Linked DNA regions of Arabidopsis thaliana. The protein of the gene in region 1 interacts with the protein of each later gene in a pairwise test. Each region holds a gene or a part of one and is shown in the gene's direction. Other genes may lie near its edges.

Evidence for each region. Proteins that work in one complex are often made in the same cells at the same time.
Region 2: the proteins of RAV1 (region 1) and AT5G49420 interact in a two-hybrid assay, tested with the Arabidopsis thaliana proteins (one large-scale study listed by BioGRID).

The regions. Positions count from the first base shown.
Region 1 is NC_003070.9:4,539,933-4,544,502, forward strand, and holds RAV1 (uncharacterized protein), read left to right. Parts: upstream 1-2,235; 5' UTR 2,236-2,453; coding exon 2,454-3,488; 3' UTR 3,489-4,038; downstream 4,039-4,570. UniProt on the Arabidopsis thaliana protein: Binds specifically to bipartite recognition sequences composed of two unrelated motifs, 5'-CAACA-3' and 5'-CACCTG-3'. May function as negative regulator of plant growth and development.
Region 2 is NC_003076.8:20,034,138-20,038,217, reverse strand, and holds AT5G49420 (MADS-box transcription factor family protein), read left to right. Parts: upstream 1-2,012; 5' UTR 2,013-2,047; coding exon 2,048-3,052; 3' UTR 3,053-3,105; intron 3,106-3,302; 3' UTR 3,303-3,546; downstream 3,547-4,080. Other genes in the region: AT5G49430 (WD40/YVTN repeat and Bromo-WDR9-I-like domain-containing protein), read left to right, coding at 1-340, 548-606, 685-880.

The DNA.
Region 1 (4,570 bases):
GTTACTCTTTTATCATATAACAAAACAACTTTCACTATCTTTGTAATATCTATAAAAATATGCAATGATATAAATTCCAAACAAAATTTACAAAACGTATAGAAGAAACTAACTAATTCTGATATGATCAAATCAAAAGTATAAAACAATGAAAGTGTACTGGTGAAAATGTCTCTCTTTTGTAAGCAGAGGTTACACAACTTCAATAATGTATCACTTACAAAACCAATTTTTCAATTTGGAGCTCAAATACTTAGAATCATAAAAGAAACATGGATGAGCCCAATCTCTCTTACGGAGACAAATTCCATGAGAAAAGAAAGCTGAGTTAGCAACAAGTGCCACGTGACAACATACTCAATTTCTTCTAAGGAAAATACAACCATCTATTTCTTTTTGTCGCATACCCACCCATATATGATATACTTAGAACCATTTTAAGTTTTTTTAAAACATAAAAATACGATTTTAAATTTGAAAATTTGATTAGAGTGTGATTATCTAATTATTGTGTTGTCTATAAATCTACACAGTCACTACTTTCTACCACACTGATTTTAACAAAATCAATTAAAGTTGATCAGCACTTATTTCTTTCATATGGGCTTAAATGCCAATTTACTTATATATATTTTGATGAAAATGTGTGGTAAAACTTAAGAAACAAAAAAATCCTAACACTAATTAGCGCCTAGGTATTTTGAGCAATGCCTCTTTAACTTAAAAAGAAAAAAACGAAAAAAGACAAAAGTAATTGTCCTGCTGTCAAGAAATGCCCATATTATTATTCATCCACACAAGACACGTACGACCATGCCTCTTAGTGATTTGTCATTGGCCCACTTCCCATCCTAGTGGATCAAATTGATAATAAATACTATAATAAATAATTACAAGAATTCAAATAGAAACCGGCAAATCAATTAATAGATATAAAAAGGAGATATAAATCGTTAACATTTTCTATTGGAGCAGGGAGAGCCAATAAAAGTCGAATCTCACGATATTTCGCAGTTCTCTAATTGGCTCTTTGCATAAAAAATGAAACCTAACTAATGGGTAGAAGAATACTTTTGCAAAGCAACAAATATATCAGATAAGATCGTAAGCTATCCACATCACTTGTTAATTGTCCTCAAACCATATTATATAATGCAAACAATTTATGGCGTTAAATCCTTACGTATTTATTCTCTATAAGAGTAAAACACACACACTGAAGGCAACTGATTTAATTGGATTTCTATTGACCAGTAGAAATACTTGTTATGATGTCGGTCGCTCGTTGGCTAAGTATTTCTTATAAATATATAAGACATATTTAAAATCTTTTTACATTACATACACCCACTTATGAGAAACAAATATAATAAAATGTTGATACCAAATATATATATATATATATAATAAAATGGGATAATTACAAGAACAACAAAAGAGAGATTTTTTATGAATTTGGAATTGGAATCTATCGAGTGCATATATTATACGGACAATAATCCTCATAGCAATACACATTTTTTCTATAAAAAGAAACGTAGGATAAGATTATAGAAAGAAGAATAAAAACCTGGAAATGGAAAATAAAGAAGATATATATCATGAGTTCATGACTAAACAACTATTTATAGCTTTTTCAATAATAATATCATTCAAGAGTGAAGAATAACAATCAGATTTGGAAGAGAAAAAAATTTAAAGAGAGACACCATTTAACATCGGTAGGATCTGAACATGGTTATCAAATCTAATACTTTCTATTTTATTATTTTTCATATAGTTATTATCGTTACTATAGTATTATAGTGAATTAAAATTTTAAGCATCAAAACTCAGGGGGGATGAACTTCACTAAAATGATGTCAATATCTCACGTGGACCCTTTATCCATTCCATGGCCCACACATGGGTCCCACTTCCCCATGCACACAGCCCACAACATATTCATTTCTATATTTGTTCCTATACTCTCTTTTCTCTTTTTCTTACATAAATAAAATACTAACTTATTATAAGGATTATTATTGCTTCGTGTGTTTTCTTCTATAAGTTACATCAACAGTTCATGAAATAGACCCTAATATAGTAACCTAAATTAAATGCCGTATATTTCATTATGTTTCCACGAAGCTTCCTTTGTGTTCTTTGAGTTGACCCATACACACCCATCTTACTTCCCATGCACCTGCACATATACTATAATTACTCCCCTCAAACACGCATTCTTACAAATATATTTTTTGTTATTACCAAATAAAAAGTGAAACATAAAATAATAATATCAGAAGTGACACTTGCTGTTTCTTATTTCCCTCCCCCCAAGCTCTTTCTCCTTCTTTCTATATATATTATACACACACACGTATACATATACACAACATAATTCACAACACAACACAAACACATTTCTGTTTTCTCCATTGTTTCAAACCATAAAAAAAAACACAGATTAAATGGAATCGAGTAGCGTTGATGAGAGTACTACAAGTACAGGTTCCATCTGTGAAACCCCGGCGATAACTCCGGCGAAAAAGTCGTCGGTAGGTAACTTATACAGGATGGGAAGCGGATCAAGCGTTGTGTTAGATTCAGAGAACGGCGTAGAAGCTGAATCTAGGAAGCTTCCGTCGTCAAAATACAAAGGTGTGGTGCCACAACCAAACGGAAGATGGGGAGCTCAGATTTACGAGAAACACCAGCGCGTGTGGCTCGGGACATTCAACGAAGAAGACGAAGCCGCTCGTGCCTACGACGTCGCGGTTCACAGGTTCCGTCGCCGTGACGCCGTCACAAATTTCAAAGACGTGAAGATGGACGAAGACGAGGTCGATTTCTTGAATTCTCATTCGAAATCTGAGATCGTTGATATGTTGAGGAAACATACTTATAACGAAGAGTTAGAGCAGAGTAAACGGCGTCGTAATGGTAACGGAAACATGACTAGGACGTTGTTAACGTCGGGGTTGAGTAATGATGGTGTTTCTACGACGGGGTTTAGATCGGCGGAGGCACTGTTTGAGAAAGCGGTAACGCCAAGCGACGTTGGGAAGCTAAACCGTTTGGTTATACCGAAACATCACGCAGAGAAACATTTTCCGTTACCGTCAAGTAACGTTTCCGTGAAAGGAGTGTTGTTGAACTTTGAGGACGTTAACGGGAAAGTGTGGAGGTTCCGTTACTCGTATTGGAACAGTAGTCAGAGTTATGTTTTGACTAAAGGTTGGAGCAGGTTCGTTAAGGAGAAGAATCTACGTGCTGGTGACGTGGTTAGTTTCAGTAGATCTAACGGTCAGGATCAACAGTTGTACATTGGGTGGAAGTCGAGATCCGGGTCAGATTTAGATGCGGGTCGGGTTTTGAGATTGTTCGGAGTTAACATTTCACCGGAGAGTTCAAGAAACGACGTCGTAGGAAACAAAAGAGTGAACGATACTGAGATGTTATCGTTGGTGTGTAGCAAGAAGCAACGCATCTTTCACGCCTCGTAACAACTCTTCTTCTTTTTTTTTTCTTTTGTTGTTTTAATAATTTTTAAAAACTCCATTTTCGTTTTCTTTATTTGCATCGGTTTCTTTCTTCTTGTTTACCAAAGGTTCATGAGTTGTTTTTGTTGTATTGATGAACTGTAAATTTTATTTATAGGATAAATTTTAAAAAGGGTTACTTAGATATGTCTCAAGAGTTTTATTAGCATGAGATGATGAAAATGTTGTTACCAAATCTTACCTTGGTTTCTTTTCATTTTATGTGTATGGGAACTCGTATTTATATGTATGCATTAGCTACTGCTTATGGTATTTGCTGCTTTTTGTATATAGATTTGAGGAGTTATGACTTATGCGTACGTAATTTTATAAAATAACTCCAACCAAAAGAGAAAAAGTTTGCAGGGTCTGTAAACGTATATAATCGTATGATGATATGATAGACCATACTCCGATACAAATAACCAAAGAGAAAGATATTTTAAAATGAATGCTATTTAAGCTTTTGCAAGATATTATTTTAAGCTTCAGAAATTATTGTGTTGGTAGAGAGATTCATGTTGCTGTTAAATAATATATATGTATTTATAATTCTATCTACTACTTTTTCGGCTTAACTCAATCTAGATATTTGTTTCTAAAAGTGTTTTAGTTTTCTTTCTTTCGCTGGCTGCGACTATGAGTATCTTCAGATTCTCTACAAACTTAGGTATATATAGCTATTTATTTCGAAGGAATTTGATGGTTAAAACGAATAACATTAAAACTCTGTTAATCTCTTACGAAATGGTATATAGTATATGCGTTAGAGTTTGAACATATGATGATAATAGTACACCTGCCGCATACATTACTATGTACCTACATAAAGGAATATATTGACCATTGATCTAATGAATGTTCCGTTCATATGCACTTTCTTTCGATACAATTCGGTGGACTATAACATTATTCCATTATAGCATAAAATCCTATTATACAATTAAAAATGCCCACGCAATTTTACGTATACTTTTGTCTATAACACACATCCACACATAATTCAAGTTGTGTTCAAATAGTAACACAGCAGTAGCTTTAGTGAA
Region 2 (4,080 bases), on another chromosome or scaffold:
TTTTCTTGTGGAAAGAAGTCGGTATGAAGCAGCAATACAGAGGAACTGGACTTGCAGGGACAAGTGTAAAGTTTGGTGGAGAGACGAAGGCGAAGAAGATGGTAGTTGGTGGGAAGGACGGATTCTAGCTGTGAAACCCAAATCACCTGATTTTCCTGATAGTCCGTGGGAGAGGTACACAGTTAAGTACAAGAGTGACCCTGCCGAGACACATCTTCACAGTCCCTGGGAGCTTTTTGATGCAGATACCAAGTGGGAGCAGCCTCACATTGATGATGAGCAACGAAACCGTTTGCTCTCGGCCTTAACAAAGTTAGAGACTTCAGACAAGAGAACCCAGGTATGTGATCCTAATGAATATAATATCTCATGGTGTTAAATCTAGCCTATCCTCCCCACCAAATTCAGACTTCACCCAAAGAGCTTAGGCCCATGTTTACATTAGCTTAGTTGGTTTATAGATCACATTCTAAAGCTTAGTGGATTAAGACACAACATTATCCCAAGAACTAACAATATTGATATAATGTGGGCTAATTTGTTTCAGGATTCTTTTGGCCTCCGAAAACTGAACCAGACCGTGGGAAATTCCAGCTACTCCAACAGGTAAATTTCTACAACCCTGGAAGAGTCTTTGGTGGAGCCAAAGCTGACATGGTTTTGTTCTATGGATTCATTCTGCAGGTTCCCAGTTCCTTTGTCTCTTGAAGTAATCAGATCAAGGCTTGAGAACAACTATTACCGAAGTGTGGAAGCATTACGACACGACGTATCAGTTATGTTGTCCAATGCAGAGACTTTCTTTGGTCGAAATAAAAGTGTAGCAGCCAAAATCTCAAATCTCTCTAACTGGTTCGACCGGACGCTACCTTCTTCGTAGCTTATCATCGCGCCTATGTAGATAAACTGATGTTTTTTTTTCTCATGTTTCCAAATTATTTAGTTAGGTTTCCTGCAATTCTTTAAAAACTCTGGTTCTAATGGCAGAAGAGAATTTTAGGGGATTTTTTTTCCTTCAGTTAGAAAATTTTAGGTTTAGGGTTTAGTTGGAGATAATCTTTTTCTTTTTGAAATTGTATGTAAAGAGAAATTGGAGGAGAGGTCAAAAACGTTTGATGCTTTGGAATCATCTTCTGTTGACTGACCAACCCCAAATTTGAGAATCATTTCTTTTTCTGCTAATGGTACAACAACAGATGAAATTGTTGACATTACATGTGCAAATATCCAGTCTACAATAGATGATCAAGACAAAAACAGTATAATTGCAAATATTTTTGACAAAAAATTGATGAATACTAAGAAACAACGTTTTTATAGAAAGTCTGGACGATTTGGTTGCTCTAGACAGTGGTAGTAAACTGAGTGATAGATATTGCTAGGTGTTTTTGAAACACTGTCAAGGTTAAGCTCCAATGAAATCAGTCAGTGATTATATGTTGATGACCCTCTCTCAAGGTTTGTTCTATAGTCACCAATTACAATTGTTTCTTCTTGGTATTGATATTTTGAGTTTTGTGTGTTTAGGATAGCTGATAGGCTTTTTTGTTAGTTTTATTTGATGGACTATTGTTTTTCAGTAGGTCTTTAACAAAGTTTTCTTCTGCTACCAGGTCACCTTTGTCAACTCCATAGCCACATTTTAAGGAGTGAAGAACCAGAAAGAATGAACACGATAATGTGAAGAACCAGCTATATATTTGTTTGTCTCTCTCATAATAATCTGACAAAATTTTTTTTGTAGAATCTAGCAAAATAATATTTTTTGAAAAATAAAAATATCTCCAAATAAATCTGAATCATAATACAATAACTAAAAATTATCAAAATAAAAATAAATAAGACTGCACTAAAAAAGGATTCTGGTGGATAGTTGGGCTTAGCCCATACAAGATTACGGTCCATGTGGTTTAATCGGTTTAGGTGGATGATATTGATATGGGGTTTCGATATTTCCCTTATATATATGAGACTGAGAGATAGAAGAAGCCTTCACTTTTCAATTATCTTTCTCCACACTCAACAAAATTGAGAAAAATCAATCAGAATGGTGAAAAAAGGTGGCACGAAGAGGAAGATTGCGATTGAGACGATACAGAAGAGAGATTCCCTTAGGGTTACCTGCACCAAACGCCGTGAAGGTCTCTATAGCAAAGCCTCTCAGCTTTGTCTTCTCTCAGACGCACAGATCGCTATCTTAGCGACTCCTCCTTCTTCTGAATCCAACGTATCCTTCTACTCTTTCGGTCACTCCTCTGTTGATGCCGTTGTCTCTGCTTTTCTCTCCGGACAACGTCCTGTTCCGAAGGATAACAAAGAGACGAGGGAGGACGTTGGTATCTGTTTGACTCGCAATAATCTAGGGTTAGGTTTTTGGTGGAACGACGAGAGCCTTGCCAGATCGGAGAATCCTCAAGAGATTAGTGAAGCGATCGACTCTATGCGGACGCTGTTGAGGAATCTCAAGGAATTGCGTGCGGATGAAGCTTTAGCCTGTAATCAAGCTTTCGTTAATGATCGCGAGGACCTGAAGAACAACGACAAGTGCGATTTTGTTTCAGACCACGAAACTCATGATCAAACCCTAATTCTTCAGTCCGCTTCTCCAATTTGTTGCATCCCAGAAAATCTCAACGAGATTACTCAAGAGCCAAATCAAACCCTAAATATTCAGTCGAGTACTTCTGCAATTTGTTGCGTCCCTGATAATTCACCTGAAAATTTCAATGAGATCACTGAAGAACAAGATCAGATTCGCTCGATTTGTGAAACTTTTTGTGTTATGGATAACAACGCTGCTTTACCTGAAATGAACCTGGATTACGATCAAGACATTGGCTTCGACACGCCTTTTGAGAGCGCGCTAAATGATTGGTTTTCGGACAACACTACTCATCAGGAGATTAGTGCAAGTATTTTGAACGCTGTTGTTGATGATCAAGTCTCGGTGGATCTAACTCCGTTTTCTTATTTTCAGAGATGTTTGGATGGAGATAATCTACGATTCTCTGATTGTTTCAAAGACTTTGCAAACACTATTTCAGCACTTTGAAGATAATTTCTCTGCAGTTTTCAAACTAACTTCTAGTTACTTCTTTATTATATGTATGTATTGATTCTGCTAATTTTGGTTACAGATATGTTTTAGCAATGTAATGAATGAAAGGGTCTGGTTTGACCTCGATCAGTTTTCCATACATATATGTATGAGGGAAATTGATCGAAATCAAACTGGTTCTCTGCTTCATCAGTTTGGTTTAATGATAATATTTGTCTTCTGTTTCTATGTTTTGTATTTGTAGTTTCAAGTCCAAACTCATGCGATGAGAACATGACCAAGGCAACCAAACCACTTGAACCACAAAAAGACGAGAAGCAGCTTGTACCGGAGGAAGCATTAATCGTTCTGGCGGGTCCTCTAACAAGATCAAAATCTAAGAAGTTCAACCAAGCTATCAATGGACTACTCAAGGAGCTAAAGAAGAATCAAGAAGACGTGACTCAATCCTCCTTCATAGTGATCACGGCTCAAGAGGCTCGGTAAAGGGTTAAGTGTTGCTTATGCATTCTTTTTCCCTTATCAAGTTTTGTCCCAATGGGTTTTCTTGACAAGGTTTTTAATGAGGCCTAAGGAACACTTTCAAGCCTCCCTTTATCAGCTCAATTCGTGGTCCAAGGCCCACTCACAATGCCGTGGCCCATTTTCTATTTTCTCTTCAAACTTTGCATTTATTGTTTTTGTTATTTCCAAAACTCTTTGCATGAGTGTGTACTTGTGCATGCTCTTGCATGTCTTTCTTCTCTCACCTCTTCCCCTTCTTCCTCCTCTCCTATATAAACTCATTGTAGTTCTCATTTGTAATCATCAAACATTTTAATCAAAAACTTTCTCTTTCACTTGTTTGATCTGAAAAGTGTGTAGTATCTTTTCAACTTGTTTTCTTCTTAGTGTGTAATATCTAAGTTGGATCCAAGCTCGTAGTCTAAGAGTCTTTCATCACTCTTGGAAGTACAATTCGTTCCCCTTTCATTCCGCTGCATCCACTCGATCTCGTCGCCATCCCCATTCATCGTCTTTCC